Linked DNA regions of Medicago truncatula. Each later gene encodes a partner of the first gene's protein in a complex. Links are inferred from orthologs where the notes say so. Each region holds a gene or a part of one and is shown on either strand. Other genes may lie near its edges.

What was found.
Region 2: transcription initiation factor TFIID subunit 5 (region 1) and transcription initiation factor TFIID subunit 1 share a complex: the UniProt entries of both Arabidopsis thaliana proteins name them as parts of the TFIID complex. The link is inferred for Medicago truncatula from reciprocal best matches to the Arabidopsis thaliana genes TAF5 and HAF01.
Region 3: transcription initiation factor TFIID subunit 5 (region 1) and transcription initiation factor TFIID subunit 10 share a complex: the UniProt entries of both Arabidopsis thaliana proteins name them as parts of the TFIID complex. The link is inferred for Medicago truncatula from reciprocal best matches to the Arabidopsis thaliana genes TAF5 and TAFII15.
Region 4: transcription initiation factor TFIID subunit 5 (region 1) and transcription initiation factor TFIID subunit 15b share a complex: the UniProt entries of both Arabidopsis thaliana proteins name them as parts of the TFIID complex. The link is inferred for Medicago truncatula from reciprocal best matches to the Arabidopsis thaliana genes TAF5 and TAF15b.

The regions. Positions count from the first base shown.
Region 1 is NC_053044.1:52,380,952-52,389,076, forward strand, and holds the start of transcription initiation factor TFIID subunit 5, read left to right. Parts: upstream 1-4,943; 5' UTR 4,944-5,053; coding exon 5,054-5,220; intron 5,221-5,306; coding exon 5,307-5,388; intron 5,389-5,485; coding exon 5,486-5,564; intron 5,565-5,930; coding exon 5,931-6,028; intron 6,029-6,139; coding exon 6,140-6,196; intron 6,197-8,125. Other genes in the region: uncharacterized protein, read right to left, coding at 1,404-2,036, 2,281-2,406. UniProt on the Arabidopsis thaliana protein: TAFs are components of the transcription factor IID (TFIID) complex that is essential for mediating regulation of RNA polymerase transcription.
Region 2 is NC_053046.1:11,045,658-11,053,265, forward strand, and holds the start of transcription initiation factor TFIID subunit 1, read right to left. Parts: upstream 3,170-7,608; 5' UTR 3,118-3,169; coding exon 3,066-3,117; exon of another isoform or gene 2,790-3,065; coding exon of another isoform or gene 2,747-2,789; intron 1,952-2,746; coding exon 1,845-1,951; intron 992-1,844; coding exon 929-991; intron 727-928; coding exon 681-726; intron 1-680. UniProt on the Arabidopsis thaliana protein: TAFs are components of the transcription factor IID (TFIID) complex that is essential for mediating regulation of RNA polymerase transcription. Core scaffold of the TFIID complex.
Region 3 is NC_053048.1:37,498,735-37,505,876, forward strand, and holds the start of transcription initiation factor TFIID subunit 10, read right to left. Parts: upstream 3,076-7,142; 5' UTR 2,916-3,075; intron 2,289-2,915; 5' UTR 2,255-2,288; coding exon 2,153-2,254; intron 2,060-2,152; coding exon 1,995-2,059; intron 1,302-1,994; coding exon 1,239-1,301; intron 745-1,238; coding exon 687-744; intron 603-686; coding exon 552-602; intron 1-551. UniProt on the Arabidopsis thaliana protein: TAFs are components of the transcription factor IID (TFIID) complex that is essential for mediating regulation of RNA polymerase transcription.
Region 4 is NC_053044.1:29,927,399-29,934,702, reverse strand, and holds the start of transcription initiation factor TFIID subunit 15b, read right to left. Parts: upstream 3,135-7,304; 5' UTR 3,068-3,134; coding exon 2,767-3,067; intron 2,672-2,766; coding exon 2,569-2,671; intron 2,049-2,568; coding exon 1,361-2,048; intron 971-1,360; coding exon of another isoform or gene 848-970; exon of another isoform or gene 788-847; intron 704-787; coding exon 553-703; intron 465-552; coding exon 383-464; intron 1-382. Other genes in the region: uncharacterized protein, read right to left, coding at 5,509-6,087, 6,185-6,286, 6,385-6,522. UniProt on the Arabidopsis thaliana protein: TAFs are components of the transcription factor IID (TFIID) complex that is essential for mediating regulation of RNA polymerase transcription.

The DNA.
Region 1 (8,125 bases):
ACGAAGAAAAGGGCAAGTTGATGAGTGTTTCCCATTGACCGCTATATCTCGTCGACTTCGTGATGGTTTGCATTAATAAGTAGTAGTTGCGTAGATTTCTTCCAAAGAGATGTTTCATCAATGATAAACTAACTTCTTGGTCTTCTTCATCATTGACTTGACTGTTCTCTTAACTAACGCAGTTTCTTTCTTGTGATTGTGAAAATATGGCTTGTGTTGGACTTTTGGTGATCTCTTTTTGTCGGAAAGCTGCTCAATCCCCACGGATTCCCAAATTGAAATTATACTAACACCAACACTTTATAAACCATTACCGGTAAAACTATTTACTAGAAGGGTAATTTTAACAAGTTTGATATCCAATTCAGTAATAGATTAATACTATGAAAAATCAATCTCACTTCACAATAACAATAATAATATTGTGATAACTTGGCTATGCAAAAATTATATCTTTTGAAAATAATACTTTTGTATTAAGCTACATTACTAATAACATCATTTATAAGATAAAGTTTTTTTTTTTTTGAATTTCTTATCAGTTGATCTTGAGACACTTATTAATATTCCTTTAATTAAAATATCAAACATTTCAATAAATATAATACAAACATTCTCAAAAAAAATACAATCATTAGTGGGGGCAATTGCCCCTCTAATTTCATGTGTGTAGATCCGTGAGACGGTGACAAGTCATTGTAGGTGAGTTGATATTTCAGGGTCCATCAAGATTAGAGTAAACTTTAAAGCTCAATGAACGCTTATATAAGCACTTATTCATCTACCAAATGACCATGTAAGTTAGTCAAATCTTTTAACTTTCTTTGACTAGACTCGTCCAGTGAACTACTACGCATTATGCTTAAGAGTAAAATGCATAATAACAATTTACACACAAAAATTAACCACTCAACCTTGATGATATGGGTTCGAGATCGTGACACTGCGAATACAATTTATACACAACAAATAATGATGACATCTCATCCAAATTCAAAGCACGTCTAGAACACGAAAAGACCACTAAACTTCAGGGGTTGTAGCATCGAACAATAACACTGAGAAGTTGGAGTTCATGCACACAAAATGGCAAACATATTTTTTTTACTAGAGCACATCCCTTTTACAAAAATTATTATTATAGACGGATAAAATGACAAAAATTATTGAAAACTCACGCACACAAATGGAGAAGTCGAATTTCTAACTTTGATTTAACATACTTATATGCAACAATATATATATTTTTGAAATATTATATACAACAATATTTTTACCAACTAAGTTTTTTTTTGAACAAACAAAAATGAAACCTATATAATAACAAACCGAAAACTCTCCGTAGTACAAGGTGTACCAAGGAGAGCCCAAAAAATTACAGATATACAAAGTCCAACAAAAACTTAGGCCAGACCCAAACAATCCAAAGGCCTTGACCACCACAAATCATAACCGAAAACAAAAACGATATTACTAGCTTTTAGCCAACACAAAGAGCGTCGCTTCACTTTATCCAACAACTGATCAATGGAACTACCTATATTAGTAAACAACCTTTGATTCCGATCATTCCAAATGATCCACGCACAAAGTAACCAAACAAGCTGCAAAAGAGAGCGTCGAGCCCGCACCCTTCCTGCTGAATGAGTAAACTGAAAGAAGTGCTCTGAAACCAATAAGGGGTCTGGACCTGAGGCACCAAGCCAAGACCGAACCCGAGACCACAAAGAACCATAATAATCACAATAGATGAATAAATGCTGAGAAGACTCCAAAGCGTCGCACCCTAACAAACAGCCCGCAACAGTGGCTGGAAGGATACCATAATGCACTAGATTTTGCCTTAAAGGCAAACAGTTCTTCAGCAACCTCCAAGCAAAAATAAAGACCTTAAGCGGAACATGAATGTGCCAAACCAAAGCATCAGCACCATCCACCTGAGGCCGATCCTGAGAAGTCAACAAATGATAGGCACTCCTGACTGTATAACCTGCAGAATGATCCAGCGCCCATCTCCATGTATCTTTCTCATTAGACTGCAAAGAAACATGACGAAGTAAAATAATACACTCCCCCAGCATCTCCTCCTCCCACACCTACAACCTCCGCCTCCATCTCCAACCCTCTCCCCCAACGCCCACCCACTAGAGAACATATGCGCAACCGAACAAGACTTATCTAAAGTAAGGTCAAAAAGGTGCCTGAAGCGCACACAAAACGGGACATCACCAACCCACACATCACGCCAAAATAAAGTATCTACCCCGTCTCCCACCATACGAGATACTCCCTCCTGAAACCAACCACCACCAGAAACCTCCACCCCATCCCTAATGTTAGCGATTTCTCACCACCACGCAGAACCACTCCAGCCCCCAACCTCCAACCTCCCATCCTCCTCACCATATCTCGCCACCAAAACCCTATACCATAAACTATTCCTCTCTACCAACAGCCGCCAACACCATTTACCTAACAATGCAATATTAAACTCCCTCAACCTCCGCACCCCCAAACCTCCAAACTCCCGCCGTGAACAAATAGTGGTCCAACTAACCCAAGAGAGTTTCCTAAGCACCTCACAACCCCCCCAAAAAAATTTAGAAAAAATAGAATCAAGGGAAGAAATTATACCTGACGGAGCCTTGAAGAAGGTAAGAGCATAGACAGGAAGAGAGGTCAAAATTAGGTGTGAGCATTAGGGTTGTTCATCAAAATAGGATATTAGGTGTGAGCATTAGGGTTAAAACAGTAAAATTATGCAATAAGGTTTAGGTTAAATTTAGAGCTTACGGGTTAACTTTAATATATAAGAAGATTAGATGATAGCATTAGGGTTGTTCATGAAAATAGGAGATTAGGTGTGAGCATTAGGGTTAAAACAGTAAAATTATGCAATAGGGTTTAGGTTAAAATTAGGGCTTACATGTTAACTTTAATATATAAGAAGATTAGGTGTGAGCATTAGGATTGTTCATGAAAATAAAAGATTAGGTGTGAGCATTAGGGTTAAAACAGTAAAATTATGCAATAGGGTTAGGTTAAAATTAGAGCTTACGGGTTAACTTTAATATATAAGAAGATAAGAAGATTAGGTGTGAGCATTAGGGTTGTTCATGAAAATAGGAGATTAGGTGTGAGCATTAGGATTAAAACAGTAAAATTATGCAATAGGATTTAGGTTAAAATTAGGACTTACGGGTTAACTTTAATATATAAGAAGATAAAACAAATAAATCAATTGTATTTATCTATATCTCTCTATATACATAGAGGGGCTATCAACCGTTAAATCTAACATTCCCTAAAAAAAAAAAAAACGTTAAATCTAACATAAGTTTTTTGACAAGAAATCTAACATAAGTTGTTGATACATATCGTGTGTGTATTGTAAACCACAATGTATAAAGTTCGGATGTTAATCATAAAAAACGATACACCAAGTTTTTGTGTAGTTTTTATATTTCAATTTTATATCCTTAGTTTATACTATACTATTTTATTTATAAAATCATTTTACGAAGACTACAAATCAATCTAGATAGTTAAAAATTTATAACTCTCGCATACACTATGCATCAACTACTTGCATTAGTTTCCATTGATATTATCATACGTCATGTAAGATATTTTTTTACAATCTTATTTTCTTCACCCAATAAAATAACTATTTTAAAAATAATTACGTAGAATTTTGTAAGTTGAATATTTTTATAGAGAAAAACAGGTTCTAGGAAACTTCAATAAAATACATGGTGCAATTGCAAATTTCTTTCTATAAAAAAACTCTTCCAGAAACATTATGGTGCGGCTGCTAGGCTAAATAAGAAAAGGAACACACGCGCAAATTGAAAGAAAATTGGTTTCATTTCATCATTGATGATATCATCATCAATCATAATTTCAAAGGATGGTTGACTGTTAATGGACCTTGACTTGAACTTTAGAACTTAGATTGGGCAACGTGGTTAAAGAAGCAAGTTCCAATTTAAGTTCTACATTTTGGATGTCCCAAATACTCAAACTTTGCGGCTCATTAACTAAATTATTTAGACGTAAGGCTTACTTACTTCTGTGATAAATTATTACTCATAGTTTGAAATTTTTCATTTCGTACATATCACTCTAATTGCCCAGTCTCACTAGACAATATATGAACAGGGAACTGATGTGAACTTCTATTTAATTATATTAGATTGTTTGATTGTATTAACGAGTGTTCAGTTAGAAGCTAACACAGGAAATAATTTATGATGCAACTTAATATATTAGATTTAGTCCATATGTAATAATGAGTTGCAATCTAATTTGTTTCTGTTAGGAAAATGTCATAAAATTGTGAGCGCGTTTGTCATAGTTTAAAAAAAAAAATATTTTTGAAATAACTTACTTTGTTTTTATTTTTTGATGGTCGGGATTCGAACCCCAGACATTACATATATCATGCATTGAATATAAACTATATAAAATGAATTCTTTTGATCCTTATTTTCTTTCTCCTAGAATTTTGTTTTACTTTTTTGAGAAGATGCTCTCAACAGTTTCTCATTTAAAATTGTTTTTAGATTTTTTTTTTTTAAAAAACTTGTAACAAAAGAATCCAATTTTTTTTTTCCAAATGAACGATCCAATAATTTTCTTTTTTTGAAGGAAGGATCAAATATTCTTAAAAGTGATTATTTTCTTAAAAAAGCTATAACAAACCGGCTCTAAAACAATTTTTTTTGTGCGATTCAAGCATCCTTTATGCGTGCAAGACATGCATTCTTATTCTTGAAAACAAAAAAAAAGAAGGTAAGATTGGATAAAAGAGGGTGTAGCAATAGAAAGGAGAGTGTAAATAGTATCCCCATACATGTTTTGATCTGGGCTGAGATTTAGTGAGCAAGGCCTGTTATTCAAGAGCCCAAGCCCATTTATCAGATCTGATTCCAGAACCAACCCTAACGAGACCAGAATCAAATTCAACACGAAGTGTCTCTGCGATTCTGAGAATCGAAGTGAAGTGAAGTAAAAGGGTTTTTGAGCTTTGAGCTCGAATTTGCAATCGAAAATGGACGAAGACGAAATTCTCGGTTACGTAACCGCATACTTGAAGAAGAAAGGGTTTAAACAAACCGAAAAAGTTTTCCAAGAAGAATTTCAACAAAACAAAACAAGTTCATCCTCCAATTCCATTCTCGAACCTGACATTGCCAATCACCTTCATGCATTCTCTCAGTAATTTTCCATTCTTCAACCTAATTTTTTCATTCAACGATTCTTCCTCTAATTCACGTAAATTCGTAATGTATTGTGTTTTGCAGGTTGGAGAATGGTCCTGCAAGGTATCATAATGGATATAGTAGATTAAGAACTTGGACTTATTCTTCATTGGATTTATATAAGGTAATTAATACACTGTTTAATTGCTTAATTTCATTTAATTTGTTTATTGAATCAAAATTATGTTTTAATTTTTGCTTTTTTTTCTTTTTCTTTTCAGCATGAGTTGCTTCGTGTGCTTTATCCGGTGTTTATCCATTGTTTTATGGACCTTGTAGCGAAAGGGCATATTCAAGAAGGTACAATAAGTTCATGTACACTTGCATAGTTTTATTGGAATGTTTGGTTTTGGATTGACTTATTTGTTCTTATCTACTTACATAACCACTTATGAGAATGTTTGATAGAATTCATGGAAATAGAATTTGACATATTCATAAGCTTTTTTCAGTTGATTTCCATAAGCTCTCCAAGATAGCTTAAGAAAACTTTTACCTTATACGAAAATAGTTTGATTTCTTGTAGTAATAACCTATATACAAGAACTTATATGATAGACACTTATGTTATAAGTGCTTAATTAATCTGTTTATCCGAACATGACCGAAATGTGAACCATCAGATGTGTTTTATAAAATCAAATATTTTGTTTTTGATGTCCTCAGCTCGAAATTTTTTCACTACTTTCCGCGAAGACCATGAATTGATGCACTTACGTGACATTCAAAAGTTGGAAGGAGTTCTTTCTCCTACTCATTTGAAGGTTAGTTTCTATCTAAAATCTTATTTTACTCTCTGAGCATCTTCTTGTTTTTTGGATAATCATTCATCAACAGTTTGTTTTGAATAATCCAACTATGTTCTTTTTACTTAGGAAATGGAGTTTGCTCATTCGCTAAGGCAAAGTAAATTCAACATAAAGATATGTGAGGTAATATCTTTATTCTTCTGAATCTGAATTAGTTTATTGACGAAGTTAGTTACAGGTTGTTAGAGCTAGTGTGTAGGATAACCAGTTTCTAAATAGACCTGATGCACACTGTAATGATTATGAATTCAGAAATGAAAGAATAACATTAGAGATTCATAGAGTTCTCTCAAGTGAATGTACCAAGTGTTCATCTTCTAACATACTCTACTGGATTAATTTCAGACGTCCTTCAGCAATTTAACTCCCGTTCCATGCTTTCTCTTCTGTGTTACATGAATCTGTTTTTTACCAATTTATATGATGCTTTTTATTTTGAGAGAATGTTTGGCTATTAGGATTTGTTCCATAATGATGTCACTTAACAGGCAGAACAATTTGTAGGCCTATTATGTGTCTGTCATGAAAGTTATCTATGATATATGATCTCAAGGGTTAGCCATCTGGGGCTTCAACCCTTACTTCAAATCACTCAATTCCTTGTTGGGTTGCCCTTGGACTCTCCTTTCCCATAATGCAATGCAAATGACTCTTCATATCCAGAGGCGGAGCCCCTCATGGGCCAAGGTGGGCCATGGCTCATCCCCAATTTTTTTCTTCTTATTATATATATATATTATGTTTTGTAATTATATGATGATTGTGTAGCATGCTGTAGTGGTTAAGAGCCTTTTTGCCAAGTCTTATGTGCTAGGTTCAACTCTTGCCAAAGCCATTTTCATTACTCTTTTATTTTCTTTTGTATAAAAAAAAGCATTCATAATTGTTAAAATAATCCTTTTTTTTTGTTACTTAATCCTTTCTTTCTTTAATAAAACATAACTCCTTTATTCAATTTAAAATAATCTTTTCCTTCCTTACTCTTATTTTTGGGTACAATTGTCTCTTTACTCTTTTATTTTATTTTATTTTTATACAAAGGAAACTTCAACTCTTTTTTTGTCAAAAAAATTCTCTTTCAAAACACATAACATATTTTTTATATAAAAGAGGACCTCAACCATCTTTTATAATGCATAACATATAACATAAATGTTAAAATATCCTTAAAAAACATGATATCATAAAAATATTTAATTGTATAAACATTATTTTTTAGGTAAAAAAAAAAAAAAAACTTCCCTAAAAAAAAAGGTAAAAAAAAATACTATATTCTTTATTAAATTAAAATATATTTCATTATTGTACTTGATTATAAGTATATTTTCTTATGTAATGATCTTTTTTACATTAATATATATGTCATGAGTTTTATTTTAATTTTTTTTTTACTCGGTCGTTTGATTCAATTCGATTTAATACCTATACATCTGTTTATTGAAGTCGAGTTATTTAATTCAGTCGTTAGGTTCAATGACCTAGTTGTTCGATCAATTATCTTGTACTTTATTAAGGTTGATAAACGGTTCAGATTTTAAAATATCGGTTTGAATTATATTCAACAAATAACAAATTTGTAGTCATTGGAACTAACCAATAATAAAATGTACTTGTAAGAAAATTAAGCTCCATCACTATTTATGGCCCACTCTAGACTTTTTTTCTAGCTCCGCCATCATATCAATGTGGTTTTCCATTTAGGGTCCGTTTTGTGCACATGATATTCAAGAGACATGATAGGATTAGAAAATGGTTAAGGATAGGATAGGATAGGATAGTGACATGATAGACACTTATCCTATCATGTGTTTGGTGTACACATGATAAGAAAGATGATTGAGAACAAAAAATTCATATCGTTTAATTAAAATTATGAGGAATTGAACTTTATTGAATATTTTGGAAATTGAATTGATTGGAATAAAAAAAAAACACAACATACTGCATGTCGAAATCATTATAAGGAATTGAATTGAAATAAAAAAAATTGAATTGAAGAAAGCAAAAAATTTAATTGAAGAGAAGAAGAACACGAAATGAAAACTAAGGATA
Region 2 (7,608 bases), on another chromosome or scaffold:
ACATACACTGACACCATATTTAGGAAGCCAGTGTATAGCCATGGAACACCATACAGCCAGTCCACCATTTGATCGCTATTACCCATTCATTCATGTAAACAGCTACAAACCATCACTAAAACTACACTTCAGCTAGCTTAATTAGTCTAGTTCTACTGAAGTGCACCACTAGCCCTTACAAACCCCTATCATCAGGCATGACTACCAGTTTTAACAAAAATAATAATAATTTATACAATATTTCTAAAACTAAGGGTACCGCCAAAAGTTCTCAAATCTTATTCCCAAAAAATTCTTTAGAACACACTCTTTATGATTGGTTCAATTTTTAAAGAGTAAACACTTCTTAAGAAATGACCAATTGATGTGGTAAGTGTACTGAATTATTTTTTTTTAAAAAAGGACAAATCATCAAGAGTATGATGAAGACTGTGCTGCTAGCCTTCATTTCTCCACCGATACTATGGGGGAATATGTTAGACATTTAGGTAAAAAATTCACTGATAACAAAAGAAAAATAGCTACTTTGCATGATATTTTCCACCAAGCATACTTCATGTGGGAAACAATTCCAGTAGAAATAAAACACAGGCTTAGTGCTCTCAGTTGATAAAGGAAAAAAGATACCAACAGAATATCAAAAACTGCATGATATAGTTTTTCCTGACAGACAACTTCACCTTGTTCAACAATGCCAGGCGGTGTTCGTGGTGACTTTCCTGACAACTGCAAACAGAGCACATTCTTATCAAGGAAAATTGAAGAGGTGGAGACAATGAAAATACAAAGAAAAATTAACAGTTAACGCTTGTTAACCAAATCAGAAGATAGCATTTTGATTTATAAATTCAACACTACAGCCTGATAATGATATCTAGATATGTACAGTAAAAAAAAAATACAATAATAATAAATTTGATATCCTTACATCTATATCTGTCAATGATGGACCCAGCTTGTCAGCCAATGCAGATAGATGCTCCTTTGCATCCTAAAAGGAAAAATTCTCATTTAGCACCAATTTTACTGTTTTTGACCAAAACACATAAACAAATGAAGAAAGCATAAACGATCCAGAACAAGAAAATGTGCATCCCACAATAATTATAATTCTAAGAATAATTATAATTCTATTTTTCAAAATAAGAAAACAAATCCTAAATGAACAATTATCCTGGAACCTCCAACAGATCCTACAAAGAATAATTGATCTGGAACCTCCAACAGATCATTAAAAGTAGTTCAAAGTATAGGCATTAACATCAATCTTGTTGTACACATACAAAGGCAAGCTTTTATCGCACTCTATACTCAGTTGAAAATTATGATGCCTAAAGTCTTAAACCTATTTAATAAAGATCAATTTGACTTGTAAAATAACCACTTGATCTTAACAAATAAGAATCTATGCACACTACTAAATCAAATCTTCCAAAGTTGAATCTCAGGTAATTCTTTAGTTTAGACAACCATACTGCGCCAATATGTCCAAACTGCATCCTTTTTTGTTTTTCAAAAAGCTACAATAAAGGTTTTTGTAAAAACCTGTCCTCCTCCCAAAAAATAATATATCTCAAAACAGTAAATATGGTTTTTTCTTTTACAGAAACAGTAAAAATGGTTTTAAATCTTCTAATATAAAAAAGTTTAGCAACTTCAAAACCCTCCGCATACCAATCATGATGATACTACAATAGCTTAGAAATTTCAGGAAACTACTGAGAAGGTGCGTAGGGAATCAATCAAGCAAAATAACAAATATATGCATGCAGAAGCCCGATCTTGGTTCTCAAAACATTTCAACAAGCAAGTTCACAGAAACATCAAAGGACACATTAAATTACCTCATCAAGATAATCAACATCGAGATCACCAGAATTATCAACATTTCCAAACATGAACCCGAGAAAATGATTACCCTTGCCAGACTCCTCATATTCTTCTTCATCATCTATCAAGCCAAATTATTGAACATACTGAGTTAATGAACTATATAAACCAAAAAAACGAAGCTAAATAAATCAACACCGCGTCAAACTCACAGACAAACGGCTTGACATATTTCAGCACATAGCAATTAACAATGATGCCACCAAGTCAATCCTACTTTAGGGTTTGTTTAGGGGAGAGATTTTGGAGGGGAGGGGAGGACTTGTTTTCTCTTCTAAATTATGAAAGCTATAAAGTATGTTAAAAAAATAATGAAGTGCAATGAATTGTTATATGTCATGTAAATGAATAAAGTGTGATTGAATTGTTATATGATCATATACCATGGCATTCTTTCACCTATTTTAAATTCTCAAATATATACTAAAATATAAGACTTAGCCCTCCAAAATCCATCTCCCAGATTTACCCTTAATGACTAAGCCTATTCTTAAAGTGCCGGTGCAACTAGAAAGCTTAACTTTCATAAACATCCATTATAAGCAAAGAAAATACATCTAGATTCTCGGTGATACATCAATCGATCATTTTCACAAAATTTAGAAGCGAAAACTCCGTCCCACTGCTCCTGATTCGTATTTATCATTACTTAACTCGATGCCCAGAGTTGTTTATTTGAGTAAACTAGGGTTTCATTACATTTCTAGCTTCTAATAGTGCTCCTTCAAAAAAAAAAAAATTAATATTGAATCTGAGAAACACTATAATTAAATTTCACATTCATACACTTCCACTTTCTCCTAGTTCCTTTAACTTCTGATACTCCTATTCTAAAATCTTCAATAAACAAAGTTACCTTCGTTTCTCCCATCTTGTGAATTATCCGAATCATACCCCATGTTGTTGTTGAGCGGATCAAGGTTTCAAAAAACGGACCGGTACCGGAATTGCGGACGTTACAAAACGGTATCAGCGGCCACCGTGACCGTTTTTGGACCTTTTCACGTCGAGAACAAAAATCACAGGAAAATCGCCGATACGGAACGCCGTTACGGACTCCGTTACAGACTTGAAAATTCAGAAATTTGAACAGGAGAAGAAAGAATCTTATCTTTTGTGCAAGTCAGGCATCTCAAACCTGAATTTTATCTTTTTTACACAAATCAATTACTTACTTCTCTTCCTGCTTGCGATTTGCGATTCTGGTGTTGCTGTTTCTTGCTTCATTCTCTTTGTTCAGGTTTGCGATTTGCGATTTGCGATTTTGCTGTGTTTCTTTCTTTTTTTTGAGATGGTTTATTCATATATTTATTTTAAATATGGCATTCGTCCATGTAATTTCAGACGCATTTTGATTTTTTTCTTTTGTAAAATAAAAAAATATTTTAAAAATATCCTGCAAAAAATTAAATTGTTTTGACCATATGATAGTTGCTGACTGTGCAACTATAATTGCTGACTATGCAACTTTTGCCACATGATACTGACCTGGCATACCACATAATTAGTTATTTATTTTTTTTCAAAATTTTTTTTTAAATTAAAAAAATCTGAAAATAAATTTAAAAATCATAAAAAAAATTAAAAAAGCTGAAAATTAAATTTTTGACTTTTAACTAAATTTTTTTTTCTTTCAAAATTCTGAAAATTCTTTTTTTTAATTAAAAAAATTCGAAAATAAAACTGAAAATTATATTTTCAAAAGTTATAAATTTTGAGATTATATAATTTTTTATTTTATTTTTCAAACATTTATTTCCAGATTTAAAAAAAAAAACTAATTTCCAATTTTTTCTTCATTTAAAAAAAATGGAATTTTTTTATGATTTTTTTATTTATTTTCAGTTTTTTTAATTTTAAAAAATATTTTTAATGATGTGGCAACTGCCATTTGGCCAAAGTCATCCCATGTCAGCAAAAAAGTGGGGTCATGGATGTTTTTAAAACAAAAAAAAAATTGCAAGGATGTTTTTAAATTTTTTTTTACAAGGACGAAAATCAAAAAGTACTTTAATTACAGGGACAGAATGCATATTTAAGCCATTTATTTATTAAACTCAAACAAAAAAAAAAAGTGTGCATTCATCTCTTATTTATTAAGTATCCGCGTGAGTTTAGCTCAGTTGGTAGGGATAATGCATAATATATGCAAGGTCTGAGGTTCGAATCCCGGACACCGCCAAAAAAATCTCTTATTTATTAAACTCGAGGTAATTTTAAATTGATACTCTTAATTTGAGTATTTAGGTAACAAATACTAGATGAAATTTTAGAGAAAAAATTGGGACTTTGATGTTAGAACTTTGAACTTTGATTGTATATGTTGTTGTGATTGTGATTTTGTTGGTGGATTACATCATGGCTCATCAACAAATTCTTCATATAACTACCAACAAATATAACCACCAAGAACTTCTGGATTGTTTGATTATGTCTTTGGAAGAAGTGGAAATAACAATGATGAAGGTGATAGTGGAAGTTATGATCATACACATCGTTCTTCCTGAAGTGGAAGAAATAGTCACAAGAAAAGGGGTTTGAATTGTGACCCTTTTAAAAATTAGTCCTGAAACTTAAATAAGTTTATCTACTCAAGAAAGTTCTTAGTAAGAGTTAAACAAATAAAAATATTTGTTAATTAATAAATAGAAGGACCAGAGAACTCTGGATTGTATATTTAAAATTAAGTAAATAAAAGGACCAAAGAATTCTGGAATATATTACTGAAATAAATAAAGGGTGTGTTTGATTCAGCTTTAGATGGAATTGATTCTGACATAATTGATTTTGATAGAATTGATTTATGTTTGGATATAATAATGCAGAATTGATTAGACAAACTGAATGTTGTTTGGATAGTTTTCATCAAAATTGTTTTTGAATGTATGGTTACTAAAATGGACATAGTTAAATTCAAGTAAATGTGCATAATTGAATGTATATGTATATTAATACTAAATGTATATATATTATTTAATTTAAATAAATAAATTTTCTATATATTAATTTAAAACATAATAAATACGATCATCAACTAATTTTTTTTTACAAAGTATTTGTTGATATATTTTATATTTTTTGATAAATATATTTAAGTTAAATAATACTAGAGTTAGTTGCCAAAAATAATCAAATATAGTGTAAAAGAAAAAATGCAGTAAATTTGAATGGGGACACCGTAAAGGAAAATCCAAAACTTGGTAGCTCATGACCATAAATATTTTACAGGGGCTAATTTGGTTCGCTAAGTTTTTTGATTAAATTTGGTTCATCAAATTAATTAGAAAGCAAAAGGAAGGGGAATTGCTAAAGGACAATAAAGGAAAATAATAGGTTCTAATAATTAAAATATAAAATTTAATGTATAATTGATTCTATGAAAGCCATAAGCTATAAATTGTAGCTTTAAGGATAATTGTTTTTTGAGGATAGAAACAATTCTGAAAAACCAAACCAAACAACATTGAAAATTCAATTTCCACTTTTGAGGCTTGTAGAAGTGCTTCTTGTTGCTGAAAAACCAAAACAAACAGGCACAAAGTAATAAAGGAACGAGAAAAAATATTCATATTGAGTATGATATGTAAAAAAAAAATGAAGTACAGATGTGGGAAGAAACAACAAAAATATATTGCACATAAGAATCATGTTTTTTTGCGAAGTCATATTCTCTTATCAAACATAATCAAGCATGTATCATGATTAATATGCATTTCAGTTTATCATCTGAATAATGACAATTATGATCAATTGATCATTTTCAACAATTTTTTAAAACGAGAGAAAATAATTCATTAGTGGAAGCGATGAAATCAGAGTCATTTGACACAATGTCAAAAATATTTCTCTCTTCAAAGATTTTCATGTTGAATATTTTTCTAAATATTTTCAATGGGTAAACATCTTTAAATGAATATGCAATATGATTTTCTCATTATAATAGAAATCAACTACATGTATTTAGAATTTGGAAAACACACATGTTCATAATCAAGTATGTGTTTAAACTTATCTCTAAGTAAGTGTGCTTGTGTGAGTTATCTTAGGTACTTATCTTTCAAGTTTTCATGCTTAAAAGAGATTCTAAACACATAAGATGAGTTTGAAGAGAAGTATTTATGCAACATATTTATGCACAAACATATACTAGTATGCCATTGATGTTTATATCTATTTTTGTCTCCAAATTTTGCAAGTGCAACAAGGTAGACATTCAACAATGATTAAACAAAATATTCATGCCAAGAATATGTTCAATATTAGTTTAGGAACAAAATATGTAAATCCCTTTTTAGATCAATTTTGAATTTATTGTTAATATATTAACAATTCACACAATTATTCTCTTGTTAAATATGATTTTTATTTTGTTGAAATCCTATCAACGATAAAACTCAATTAAAATATTCATATTGAAAGACATTGAATATGATTTTTAGATAAGTCATCAAAAATCAATTCATGAAAATACATATGTAAGAATAACATATGACATATATTGTATCGAAATCATGATATTTTGATATTTTTCTTGTTCTAAATCTCATGTCTATCATCCATTATGATTAAGAGACTAACTCATGGAGTTTTAGCGTATTAATGATCAGGGATATGTTTTCTATAAAAGATATAGAAAGACGTTTACATAACAAGATATTGATTAATAATGCAATCAATATACATTTAAATTTTTGCCTAAGAAATATGAACTTACACAAGTGTTAATTCATTAGGCTTATACATGCAAATTTTAATTGATCTTTGTGATGAGAACATTCTCAGCATCATAAAAAGTTCAAGAACAAATGATGCGTTTCTTTTGAAAATCTTTCAAAGATAAATCCTAAATTATGATCCATTTAAAAACATGTTTGGAGAATGAAATTTTCATAATCCATGTTAACATATTTTCAAAAACCATTTTCAAAATATATCACTTAAGAATCAGGAAATGAATATGTCAATGAGTAAACTATAACAAATTTTATGAACATCTTCAAATTTCATACAGTTATGAAATTTTATAATTAAGGTATTTTTATGATCCAATTCTAAGGCATATCATGATATGTCATCTTAAGAACAAATTTTAGATGAACCATTAAAAGTAAGAATGATTCAAGGTGCATTGTATGCGAACGCTCACTAATCATAGGATTTACTCATACCCTGATATAAATCATCACTCACAAGTGTGCAAAAGTAAATGTGTGAAATGAATCAACAAGTTAAACTACTCAAGATGTAAAACAAATATAATAATAAATATATAATACATGCTCGATTGTTGGTAAAGACTAGAATAGATTTGATGGCAAAAGACTTGAGCAAAACCGCATTGGACATTGCAATGAAGAGAATATTATTATTAAGTGCTGGAGCGAAACTTGCCTCACGAGTCACTGATATTCCTCCCTCGGTTGCGCAAAGACTAAGATCATCAAATCCCGACAAGAATAAAAAAAGTGGTAATTTTTATGCGTCGTATTATAAGAGATATATTAGACGAACAACATATTAGTGTTTCATAATTAAAAAATATCATATTAAACATACTTTTCAATTACGAGGAATGAAACAAAATAGTAGTTTACGGTAATAAAATAAAATAATATTTTTTGAAGTCTTGCTAACGAATACAATGAACACTCTTTAAGGATTATAAAATAAGAAAGTATTCCATATAAAAGTCAAGTAATTCAATTTTCAATATCTAAA
Region 3 (7,142 bases), on another chromosome or scaffold:
AGAGCAGCTTGCCAGACTGAGCCCTAAACAAGGACACCTCAAAACAATGAACCCATTCAGACTACCAATCACAAGGACACAAGAAAAGAAGCTAGATCAGCTTGTTAGACTGAGCCCTAAACAAGGACACTTCAAAACAATGAGCCCTAAAGCAACAGAGGCAATACTAGTTTGACCCCAATCCTCTTCTCTATGAAGATATGTAAATTGCCACAACTTTGGCAAGGCCTTCTTCCCACTGTGTGAACACCAACCGCACACCAACTTTTCTAAACTTGCAACAAAACAACAATCTAAGAGCAGCTGAGCAATATATTTTTAGGGAGATGAACGGTTGATATGAAGAGACTTGTATTAATGGTAAGGCAGTATGCTATAGCTAGCTAAGCTAGCAGCTATGTAGGCAAATGCATCGATGGGAGCACATACCAGGAAATTAATATATATACATGCATAGCATTATAATTGAGGGTGCATGTAAACAAATATTATCAATTAGTGGTAACAAGGAGTTAATTTCGTCCCTTCTAAATCAAGACAAATTTTCTTACCTCACGCAGTGCCTTCGATAGATCTTCCATCGTCAAGACAAGGCGCCTATCCTGTCATAATGAAGTGTCAGTACTAGACACACACAGTGAACGCGTATGGACAAAACCAGATTAAAATCAGTCAAGACTCAAAACCTTCTGTTGTCTGTCCCTTTTGTCTTTTGGAATTGTTGCTTGCCTTGCTTTGCAGTGCCTACAGTTAACGTCAAGTGAAATCACTATATGACTGAGATCAAGGAGATAGTAATGCATTTGCAAAAGAAGGGGACATAAGCACAAAAATTAAGTTGTTGTGTGTGTACATTTATTTATGGACCTATACAAAAGAAGGGGATAGAAGCATAAACATTAAGTTGCCAAGTTCCAAATGAATTTGATTAAATTTGGGTGTCTAATCCTACAAAGTGCCTTCGACACACATTCATTAAGGAAAGGAAAAATTCCATCCGACACTGGTCGACTTCATCCACATGCATTGACAACGTTTTTGCCAAAAGTCAATCATTGAAATCTATTTCTAGTTTACCAAAAGACTTTTGGGAAACTAGAAATAGATTTCAATGGTACACTATTCCCCAAATTTACTGTGCACATATATATAATTGGCTGCAAAGCAGTCATTCAAGTTAAATAAAACAAAAAAAGAAGGTTAAGATTCAATAAATAGAAAGGGAAAAATGAATATACTGGAGGGCATCGCCTGCGACCTCTGCAACAAATTTCTGAGTGGCAACAGCTACCAATCTAGTCCTGAAACATCGGTATAAGAACAAAAGATGAAATGGCCAAGAATCAAACTTAAGTAAATCAATAAAAGAAGTCAACCAAAATGGAAGAAATGTTGAATCCTAAAAGGACCTACCATATTCACAAGCACCCATGTACAAATTTACTAGAGGTAAAAAACAATAGAAAAACAGCAATAATTACAAACTCAAATAAATCCCAAGGTTAAAAAAAGAAGAAAACAAAGGCTAGAAAGTCCGAGCAACAGCAATTGCATACATTATCGTTCTTTAACTTAAATTAAACTAGTTTAACTGACAACCTTGGTTTCACACTGCAACCTGATCAAATAGATTCCATGTACATATAGGATTCCCAGTAAATGGTAAGAAAGATGCACATAGATAAAGACACGAATCAAGGTCTTATGTATAAAAATATAACAGAACAAAAACAAACTGCTATGCTAATCTCTTGTATCTATATTCTATAATTTTGTTTCAAATGACATATAACATATATCCAATATTTTCATACAGCTTAAAGAACTCTAAAATGATGGTAGAGGCTCAGACTCAGAATGGTCCAACTCCAAGGCATAAAAGAACTAGCTTTCTCACATGAAATTCAATATTTTCTCAAACTATGGAAGCATAAAAGAACATTAAGTTACTAGATTGGTAAAAATGGTGAATGAAAAAGAAAAGAGGTACCCACAATCTCACATCAGGACATTGAAAGCCACTCTTGGCCAAGTAATGCTCCACCAACTCATCAGGTATCTAAAACAGTATATAAAAAAAAGTAATTAATATGGATGGATGCAAGTAAAATTAAATTTAAAAATAAAATAAAATAGTGAAAAGTGAACTGACAGTAGGAGTATAATCAACTAAGGAAGCTAGGAAATCGGAGAGTGCAGAATCATCATCTGCCCTTCCTTCGCTTGAACTTGATTGTGGCTGATTCTGATTCATCTTCTGGTCAATCGCTATCCACTTACTCACTGCTCTTGTTCCCATCAACATTCAAAATTCAATTTTTTTGAAAAAATCAAAATCAACAATAACATTAACATTAACATTTCCAATCTCAATAATAATAGAGCAACTCATAACACAAACTCAACACTCCTGATCGAAGGCGTGTTTGGTGTCTGACATATGTTTGTGTCCGACACAGACACAACAACGACACATGTCCATGTCCGACACAACAATGACACATGGATTACATTCAGTTATGTCATTTTCTTAAATTATTACAACTGTCGATGTGTTAGTGTCAGTGTTGTGTCTGTCTGTGTTGGTGCTTCACATGTGAAAGGCAGGGGTTGGAGCATTAACTAATTAACTAACATAAAACGATGCACACATTAACTAACTAACATTTGTTACATAGAATACACAAACTGAATGATTAAAGAAAAAACACCAAATTGAATAATTTGAAAGAAAAACAAATTAAACACACAATAAGTAATAAAAATTACAATAGAATTAACAAAATGAACTTTCATAGATGTTCATATCGTTAGCAGTAGCAACAAAATTTAATAGCAAGAAAAATTGAGGAAATTTTTCTGTTCTCCATGGTTTACCATAAAAGTAGCACGAAAAAATAAACTCTAAGGCTTACCCAGAAAAGTGAAAACAGGCGGAGACACGATTGAAGGCGGAGAAAGAGGCGGAGACGGTGGCGAATACTAAACCGGATCGGGTTCTCGTGTGTTCCTGAAATGTGATTTTGTTTTTATATAATGGGTTTTCCGTCGGGCATCTCAAATGAATCGGATCAACGTGGTTACATTATACTATCTCCGTCCTTAATTATAAGGTCATTTTAAAAAAATAACGGGAACTAAGATAGTAGATATTTGTATTAAATACGTTTGTAATTACTATTGTTTTTACAATTTTATCCTTTAAGAAAAAAAAGAGGGTTGGTTTATGTTTTCAACATTCTATTTATTGCTGATTGAAGAAAAAGATGTATAATAAATAGGGGTATGTAAAGAAATAATTAATGTAGTTGGAAATAGAAAATGGGTCTTATAAAAAGGAAAAAAAAATCTCAAAAAAGTCTTATTAGGGACGGAGGTAGTACATTTTTTCGACAAAAATAAACTTTTTTAACATTCCCCTAAAAAAATTACTTTTTTAACATAAAAAAATATAGTAAAAAAAAAAAAACAAATACTCCATGCGTCTCAAATTGTACGTCGCTTTAAGGAAAAAAAATTTAGAGTAAATTACACTCCGCTCTCCTCAAAGATGCTTGAATTACACTCTCATCCTCTCTTATGTTAAAATTTACATTCCCCTCCATTGAAAAGTAAATTTGATAATCCCCTTAAGTTAGTTGTTTATAAATATAAGGTCAAATATCATCCTTGGTCCTTAAGTAAGTTGTTTATAGCTAATTAGTCCTTCAACTTTTTTGTCTTGAATAAATTGGTTTTTAAGTCATAAAAAAATTACAATGTTACCATTTTTCATTCAAATGCTTTAAAAAGTCTTTACGTTAATATTGAGATGATAAGTCCAAAAAGTGTTCATTACACCAAACATGATTACTTACATACATTTTCTCCTTAATGTTTTTAGGGATGGGTGATATTTTGAATGTTTTTTATATGACTAAATACTACCATCATACTATTTTATGAGGTAATTTGAAAAACTAGGACCATAGTTTATTTCAATTGTGATGTTTTTATTGTCTTTTCATAGTTAAAGTGCAGGTAATGGGTGTGGGTATGGGCACTTAGGTACCCATAGCGTATGGAGAAGGACGATAAAGTTGTTGCTCACCAAGGTGCGGATACAGGTACTTTTTACAAATGCGGGTATGAGAAAGGGCACTGTAGTACCCTACTCATAGGGTACCCATTGCTATTCCTAAATGTTTTCGAATTCAAATCTAATTTTACAATAAATGTTTCGTAAACAACATTACATATCAAGTAATGAGACACATGCCCGAACTTGGGGCTGCGCAAGCAGCTCAACCAAGCCAGACCTCCAAAAGTTACGGGCCTAAAAAAAAAATTAAGTCTAATACACACACCACACTTAAATAAAAAAAAGTTACTTCTTTTTCTTTTTTCGGTACACGTTTGAGTTTTTTTCTAGATTCCAATTCTCCTTTCTGGACATAAATCGGATGCTATCAAACCATCTTCAATTTTTATAATCACTTAATCAGTCAATTTGAAAAGTTATTTCATTAAAAGAATCACAACGATCATTTCCTTTTCGCATAAACAATTAGTTTTCCCCTTTTTCACAACGGCGGAGTGACAAATCCAAATGACACCGTTTGGTAAATTTCACCTCTCTTTCACTTTTATTTTATTTTATTTCATTTCATGTATAGAAGTTCTTCTGATTCTGATTTTTTAATGAAGTTTAGCTACACAAAAACAAAAATTGCATTTTTATTTCACTGGAACCTATTTTAAAAAGAAAGTTGAGCCTCCTATTTCATGGAACGACCCTAATGAGACATGTTTCAAACCAAGACGGAATAATACACCTATGAACTCTAGTTTTAAGAGCAATGAATTTAGATCCACCAACATAGATTAAGCGTCTACATAAACATTTTGAAATTGAGTGCGATGAAAACTTGGTAACGGTAAAAAATATCAAATGAATATAGTCCATAACAATATATAAAAGGGTTGATTGGATTTACCCCATGCCATTTGAGCGCAAAGAACTATACGAAAAGTATGTAAGAAAATACACCTAAGTCTTGTCCTTAAAATAAATGATTTTTTAAATGACAAATGTCAGCAATTAGTTGTTAAAAGAACAAAAAACATATAAATAAAAAGATCAAATGAATATAGTCTATAACAATATATAAAAGCGTTAATAGGGTTTACCCCATGCCATTTCAGCGAGTTTTGGTTTACCAATTATAAAAAATAAAGTTTGAAGATTCTCCCTTGTAATTTAAAAATTATTTAGTTTTGGACTTTGAAAAGAGCTAATTGTACTAATTTCATTACATGGTGTGTTGAATGTGTAAAACAATTTTATTTTTTAAAAAAACAAACAAAAAAAAAAAACATATCTTGCTATTTATTTTATTTATATATTAAAATACTCAAAATTAATAATAATTAGAATTCATCATAACATTCAACCTACATTCACCTTTTTATATTAAGGGTTAATTAAGTTTTTGGTCCCTATAAATAACTGCAGTTTTGTTTTTAGTCTCTATAAAAATAAATCACACTTTTTAGTCCCTACAAAATTTTCTGTTAGTATTTTTAGTCCCTGTAAAATTAAAATTTGTTTAATTATGCTTAAACTTCTAAATTTTTGAAAGATTTTTTACATACATGTTCATAACATCGTAAGACACTCTTTTATAAAAAAATTACCTTTTTAACATGTAATGAATTAAATATGAATTTTTCTAAAAGCCAAATTTTCAAGATTATATTAATGAAAATTTGGACCTAATAATAAAATTTTAAGTTACTTTTTTGCGGAGGAACTTTGTATAATATTCTAAGTAAGTATGTGAAAAATATGTTACAAATTTAAAAGTTTAAGCACAATTAAGCAAATTTTAATTTTACAAGGACTAAAAGTATGTGTTGGTCCCTATTTAAATTGAAATTTGTTTAATTATACTTAAACTTTTATATTTTTAAATGATTTTTAACAGACATGTTAAGAACATTATAATAATCTCTTTTATAAAAATTATAATTTTTTAACATGTAATGAATTAAATATATTTTTTTTAAAAAGCCAAAAATTCAAGATAAAACTAACGAAAATATGGACCTAAAAATAAAATTTTGAGCTAATTTATTGTAGCGGAACCTTTTATAATGTTTTAAACAAGTATGTAAAAAATCATTAGAAAATTAAAAATTTTAAGCATAATTAAACAAATTTTAATTTATTGTAGGAACTAAAAAGTGTGATTTATTTTTGTAGGAATAAAAAAAAAACTGCAAATATTTATAGGGACCAAAAACTTAATTAACCCTTATATTAACAAAATCCTCCAAGCTTTTGAATCAAGAAAATTTTCTTATCAACCAAAAAATAATTCCCCAGGTTTTCACTATATCATCCAATATTGGGGTTTTGACATGACTTAGAAACCAAAATCTCAAATCTAAAAAAATTCAGATCCAAAACCATGAATAAAATGATGGTAAAGAGACGATTTCTAAAAAAAATATGGTAAAGAGACTATTTCTAAGCTTACGAAGATGATAAAGAACCATGATGGTGACAAGATTTGGCGAACATAGATCTGAGATAAAATGTTTTTAGTTAATTAAAATTATTGTTTAATAAAACAAAATTCCATGTGGAAAAAAATTAAATGTAAAAAAATTTAAAAAAGACAAGTCGGTTGCCACTTACTCAATTTTACAAAAATTATCATGTCACATCAGCATTTCTGCAAAGTCTATGCTCTGATGATCTAAATCAAATATTTTTTAAATTACAAGAGAAATTTCCAAAATAAAATTTACAGGGATAAACCAAAACTTTTTCAAATGAAGGGAACAAAACCTTATTAACCCTATATAAAATGAATATATCAATTTGGGCTAGATTTTTTCTTTTGTTTTTGTCCCGTGAGCATAACTCAGTTGGTAGGATAATGTATTGTTATATGCAGGGGCCGGTGTTCGAACCCCGGACACCCACTTATTCAAAGTGAATTCTAACTACTAGACTACTTGACCAAAAAAAAAACTATGATTCATTGTGAATTAACTTTCTGATATTGATTGATCAATTATCTCTATAGTGCAATGAAAAAGACCATCAATAATATAGGATAGCACTTGAATGACACTGTGGTTGATAACATTGG
Region 4 (7,304 bases), about 22 Mb from region 1:
AAAGGGTTAGAATTTTCATTTTCACATAAGAGAACACTCAAACGTATAACATGGTCAGTTGATGTATTATGTCATCAGTGTAATAAAATAATTATATGCCAAATAAATGTAAAGTATACAAATCCAAATTGAAAAAAACCTAAATTTGAAAATCATTTATCCTTTACGTTAATGTTATGATGATTAGAAGATGGATGAGCTCAACGCTCCACTTACTACATTTATGCTTAAAAAAATGAAAAATAAAATAAAAGATATGGATAGAGATTGAATGAGTGAACACTTTTGAGTTATTATGACAATAACCCATGTTTTCGATCCAAATCTACAACGTTAGCATATCATTCATCTCCAACAGATAGATCCAGTGTGTAATGCATACCCATGGTTATTTGCTGGAGGAGCCCTTGGTGCAGATTTCTCTGCCATTGCAACACCGATTTTGTAACCCCTCAAATCATAATCTGAAAATGCAGAATCGTGATTAGTTCAACTTTGTATGAGAAATAATATCAATGTATATAGCAAGAAAAAAGCAGTTACAAGAAGTACCGTTGTAAAAACCACCAGCAGAGTGAGCTGCAGAGGGATCTTCGTAAGCAAGGCATGCATCACCCTTGTTTTTTCCATTTTCATCAGTGTAAATTTTAATGTTGTAAGGCCATTGATCTTTATAACCCCTCTTCTGCTTTATTCTTCCAACCTAGGCAGTTAAAACACATGTAACAGAACGTCTAGAATGGTGAGGCAGCTGATACTTCCCAAAGAGAACGAAAAAATAAACCTGCTACCCATTTTTGCTTTTATTCTTCTAACTTAGGCAGTTAAAACACATGTAACAAAATGTCTAGAATGTTGAGGCCTTTTTTTTGGTGTGTGTGGGGGGGAGATAGAATGTTGAGGCCTCTAATTCTTCGCAAAGAGAATCAAAAAATAAACCTATTACCCCTTTCTGCTTTATTCTTCCAACCTAGGCAGTTAAAACATGTGTAAAAAACGTCTAGAATGTTCAGGCCTATTTATTTTTTGGTGATAGAATGTTGAGGCCTCTAATACTTCTCAAAGAGAATTAAAAAAAATAAACCTATTTCCCCTTTTCTACTTTATTCTTCCAACATAGGAAGTTAAAACAAATGTAACAAAATGTCTAGTATGTTGAAGCCTCGTATGAAAATATAAACCTATTAGCACAAGTACAACAGGATTATATTTCTTACACAAAGCACAATTCAATATGTATTATGTATCAGACTGAGAACTTGAATTTACTCTGAAATTGGCACTTTCATATAAAATATCCATTCGTGATAAAAATATTGCGACAAATAAAAAGTGCAAAGTCAACAGATCAGAACATTACTTGTCCAATGCCTCCAAAAAGTTGCTGCAATTCATCAACAGTCACATCGGGTGGTAAATTTGAGATATAGATTCTAGAGTTGTCACATGTATCTCCACAATTCTCATCGCACTGCTTCACCGGAGCCGCTGGAGCTGGCTCAGCAGGAGCTCCACCAAATCCACCACGATTACCACTGTCATATCCAGCTTGAGGCACAGCCCTGCCACCACTCCGTGCATCACCTCCACCATAACCACCCGTGTTACCCCCATATGAAGGAGGATATGAATTAGGTCCACCGGTATAACTTGTAGGTGGAGGAACGGCATCTGTTCCATAATTTGCATTCCCACCATAGGTAGGTGGATAGTTTCCACCAGCACCACCATAAGACTGAGCAGCAGCAACAGGAGGTGCTTGACCATAGCCACCATCTTCTCTGCCTTGATTCCCGCCATACGAGCCACCCCTATTGCTCCCTCCACTTCTTCCATCATTGTTATTACCCCTTCCACCATTATAATCACTAGTTCTACCTCCATAGTTCTCAGACCTACCTCCTCGGTTACTGTCATATCCTCCACCACTTCCTCCTCTATTATACCCACCGCCGCCGCCGCCGCCACCGCGGTCATTACCACTGGTAGGACATGGGGTACCACATTTGTTACATTCACTCCTTCTAGCGAAGTTATTGTTCCCACAACTATATAAATAACAATATTGAATCAGATAAGAAACGTAAGAATCAAATCAACAGCAATAAAGTTAAGTGAAAAAATAAATCATTAATTTAGTCCCTAAACTATCACTCTCTCCGATTTAGCACCTAAACTATGTAAACATAATAAGTATTTCCTAAACTTTGTGAACTTCGTCAATTTATTCCCTAAAGTACATAAAATCCATCAAGTTAGTCTCTAAACTATGTAAATATAATAAGTTTTCCCTAAGCTATATGAAACCCATCAATTTAATCCTTAAACTATGTAAATATAATAAGTTGTCCCTAAACTATATAAAATTCGTTAATATAGTCTCTAAATGTACATTAAAATCCGTCCTTTTTGCCCCTAATATCTTAAGTGCAGGAACTAAACTGATGGGCTTTACATAATTTAGGACTACTAATTATATTTACATAGTTTGGAGACTAAATTGATTGTTCATTTTAATAAAAAATACTAGTGAAAATCATAAATTTTTGGCAGAAAAAAATCAAATACCTTTCGTTAGGGCAACGCCAATCTCCATCTCTGCCACTTCCACCACGGCCACCACCTCCACCTCGGCCACCGCGATCTCCACCTTGAAAACCGCCACCGCCACCTGTTTAAGTTCACATCAATCCACAGAAATTAAAGACACGATAAGATTGAAAATTAACTAAAAAAGAAAACAAATTACAGATCAAAATAACAAACCTCGACCTCCATATCCTCCACCACCACCACCACCTCCTCTACCGCCACCACCTCTTCCACCATATCCTCCGCCATCGTTTCCACCATATCCACTCCTTCCACCGTAACCTCCACCATCGTTACCTCCATATCCTCTACCACCACCGTTTCCGCTTCCTTTCGCTGCGTAACCACCACCGCTTTCATTCCCAGCATATCCACCAGCATAGCCACCACCTCCTCCGCCTCCGTAACCACCACTAGCACCATAGGAAGGTGGCGCAGAGCCACCTCCGGCATCGTGACCGTACCCTCCAGACATGATTCGATCTAGGGTTCGCTACTACCACAAGAGAGAAACTGAGATTTTTTTGTGTAGTGAAGCTTCTGAAATATTATTGTAGAATGTAACTGTGAAATATTGGGCCTTTCCGTTTTAACAAAGGAAGAAACTTTTTGCACCCTTGTTATTTCTATTACACCCTCCTAAATTATTATTCTACACTTTGTATTTTTGTTTCTTGACTTACACTTTGTATTTAGGCTAAACGGCACTTTTCACCCCCTAAGTTTCTAAATGTTGCGATTTTGACCCCCTATTAAAAAAATGGCAAAAATGACCCCATCTTTAGGGAAATATGCTCTTTTGACCCCTAACATAAGAGAAATATGTTTTTTGACCCCTTATCTTTACAAAAAGTTGCGATTATGGCCCCTTTTTTGGGGCACGTGGCACCTTCTCGGCAATTTTTGGACGAAAGGGGCCAAAGTCGCATTTTTTTTAATAGGGGGTCAAAATCGCAACATTTTAAAACTTAGGGGCGAAAAGTGCAGTTTAGCCTTGTATTTATTATGATAATAGAAATACCACAATCGTTAACTAGGTTAATTTTGTAAATATTTTTTATTTTATTATTTATAACTTCATACAAGAAAATGGGTTCGTTATTGTGAGAAGGTTGGAGTAACTTTTTCCTAGGTTTGCCAATGGCACGAGATTTTTCATGTTGTGCACTTGTGGCATCAGCTAGCTAGGATCAAAATATATATTTTTGGATGAAGCATTGTTGGAACAATATTAATAAAATAATTTAAATTTTATTTTTCATCCAAATAAGAGATTGTTGATATAAGTCACTATTTATGTCACTTTTTTTAAGACGTTTTATGACATGATTCAAAAATCAATTTTTCTTTAAAATCTACTTACCGAAGTCATCAATTTATACATTAAACAAAAAATTTGAAAAACTCATCCTACAACAAAAATAGGCCTCACGGCCAACAATACAAAAAGAGGGAAGTAAAACTTGTCTCCAGATACAATTTTATGTTCATTAATATAAGATCACGGTGATTCAAATTTAAGATCAAATAAAAATCTTTCATGTGAAAACTAAGAAAAATGCTAATGAGTGTCTTCAGAGTATTGGTTAAATTATTAAGATAAATAAATTTGTATGAAAAAGTGGTTTAATCATTTAAATTAGCATCGGAGAAAATCGAACATGAGTTTTTCCTTATTATTTTTCTTATGTTCATAATATTTTAGTATATTCTTTTGACTTTCCTAAGTTTTTCTTTCTTTCTTTTTCATTGTTAAGCTGTTCAAATCAGATATATATTAGAGTTTTATTATAATTCAATGCTTCAGTGTTGTCATAGAAAGTTACGATGCAAATGGTTTTTTCTTCTGAAAGGTGTACAATACATAGGTTAGTTGCTAAAAGTGTGCTTTTACTAATCTTCAATGCTAAGTTCAAGAAGATATCAGTACAAGCAACATGCACGTAAGAAAGTATTGCACCTTGTCATTCCTTCCTAAAATGTAGGAAATGATGATTTTAAATTTGTAAAGCCTTCTTTTGCCAAATTCCTCGCACGCTCAGCTTCTCTACACTGACCTTCGAGGAAGCAAGTGCAGAAAGTAATTCTCTACTTTGTTGTGCCCACTTAGAACATTCAGCCTTCAGCTTTTTCTTCTGAACATCACATTAGTTCAATGCTGACTTCAAATCCTCTCTTTGATTCTCAAGACTTGCCGATTGTTCATCAATTTGTAAAGAGAGCTCATGTATCTGAGCATTGGCAACTGAAGTTTCTTTGTCAACGTGGGTTTGTGTACTCTTTGCACTCCAAAGCTTGTTCATGAGATTGGTTTTCGAATCAATAAGTTGGTCGTGCTTGTTGAATACTTGTTGAGAAGTAGCGTGTTTGATAATGTTGTCATTGGCGAAGTTCTATACTTTCTCAACGAAGTTCTATATTTTCACAACGAAGTCCTTCAACTCAGAAGTTTTATTTTCCCACCGTGCAATGCAGATTGCACGGTGCAACGCGGGTATATATTATTCTCTTCTAACAAAAAATATTGCAAAAGCATCATATGGTAAGAAAAACATCCAACTATGTTTGAAATGCAATCCTACCACTTATCATATGGAGCACTCAAAAAATATTATTAAAATAAAATAAAGATTAATACCTAAGTGAATAACAATGTGATACATCTGCATCATTAAAAACCTTACTTGTAAAACCCAATGGGATAAAACCAGATGAAGGAAAAAAGAGCGCAGTACTAAGCTTACATAAACAAAACGACATTAACAAAAACACTAATCACACCCTATCCTATTTTTGTGAGGCTCCCTCCTAAAATGTAGGAAAGGATGATTTTAAATTTGCAAAGCCTTCTGTTGCGAAATTCCTCGCAAGTTCAGCTTCTCTTACATCGACCCCGGATGACGCAAGTGCAGAAAGTTATTCTTTACTTTGTTGTGCCCACTCAGTACATTCAGCCTTCAACTTATCCTTCTGAACATCACATTTGTTCAGGACTGACTTCAAATCATCAATTTGTAAAGAGAATTCATGTATCTGAGCATTGGCAGTTGAAGATTCCCCGTCAATGTGGGTTTGTGTACTCTTTGCACTCCAAAGCTTGTTCATGAGATCAGTTTTCAAAGCAAGAAGTTGGTTGTGCTTGTTGAATACTTGTTGAGAAGTGGCGTGTTTGATAATGTTATCATTGAAGAAGTTCTTCACTTTCTCAACAAAGTCCTTCAATTCAGAAGTTAACATTTCTTGATGCTGACTCAACTGATGAACAAGCGAAATCAATTTTGATTTGGACTCTTGGTTAGATACAAGATCGTCAAGGTCTGACGATGAGTCCAAAGTCTTCAATTCTTGAAGTAAAATTTGAACGGAGGAAATTGGCACTTGTCCAGTAAGAAGCTTCTCAAATGCAAGAAGTGGGTCTTCTTCGATCAGCTTGTTAATATCTTCCATTGCTACATGTGTTGATGTACTTCCTTCTTCAACACTTATCTCGATAACCTGCTTAAAATTATAAGGATACTTAGGTTTGTAATATAATTCAATTCCTGCATTAAAAAAGAGTCAAAAAAGAATACAAGCAAAATAGGGGAAATGCCTTTTGTTTAGGAGCCACTAATTGTAAATCTGTCTCATTCTTTGTTCCTGAAATGATGGACAAACTTGCTGCTTCTATTTTGCCTAACATAGAACCCTCCAACTAATTGCAAACCATGGAAATGTAAATTAGTTGCATGATATTTTTAAGTAGTAGTTGAAGTAAATGCTTGAAAGCTTGGTTCCATACAGTAAACTCACATGTGAAGATGTTTTAAGCTCATAAGTAACTAATGGCCCTGATGATGAAATATTCGGTTCTGAATGAGTTGCCGATGTTATTGTCTTGGCATTAGCTATAGTTGTTGTATCTTCAAAACTTAACTTGATAACCTTCATAAAATTAAAAAGATATTACAGTGGGTTGCAATTTAGCATAATTGATTTCCAATATAAGTTGAAAGAGAGTCGAGCGAATAGTTGCCTTTTGTTTGGGAGCAGCTAATTGTATAGTAGACTCGTTCCTTGTTTCTGAAACGGTGGCAAAAGTTGTTGCGACAGTTTTCTGTAACGTAGAACCCTCTTGAATACTTTGATCCATCAAACATTGTTGACTCGTTGATTGTTCATTCAACAACTCCTGCGATTAGGAAATTAAGCGTTAGAGATGTGAAACTACTAATTACATTCCTTATATTCATTATATCCATAAGAATGGATTTTATAAGAAGAATATCGAAGGAAGGGACATGGCTGGAAAATTACTTGTGAAATTGTTGGTGAATTTGCTACCGAAGGAATCTCTAAACCAGGAATGTTTACAACAAATTCTTGCTTTCTCTCTTCTGTTTGTTTCATTTTTGTCTCCACAACATTTGACTCATTGCCATTTTTATGTGAAGAAGTTAACTCATGTTTAGATGTTGCTTGAACTTCAGTCCCATTTGGAAACTGAGACACGATAGAAGAGAGTCTTGATCTGGAAACTATTATTTCATCGTCCATAGGAAACTGTTCTTCGATATTTGAGTTTACCTTCATGAGAGGATTGTCAATTAGAGAACCTGAACAACATTTGGAAGAGAAGAGAGTTCAAAATCAAAAGGGTAATAAGATTTTTTTTGAACAGTCAAAAGGGTGATAAGATAACATAAGAAAATAAAATTGATCCAAAAAGTCTT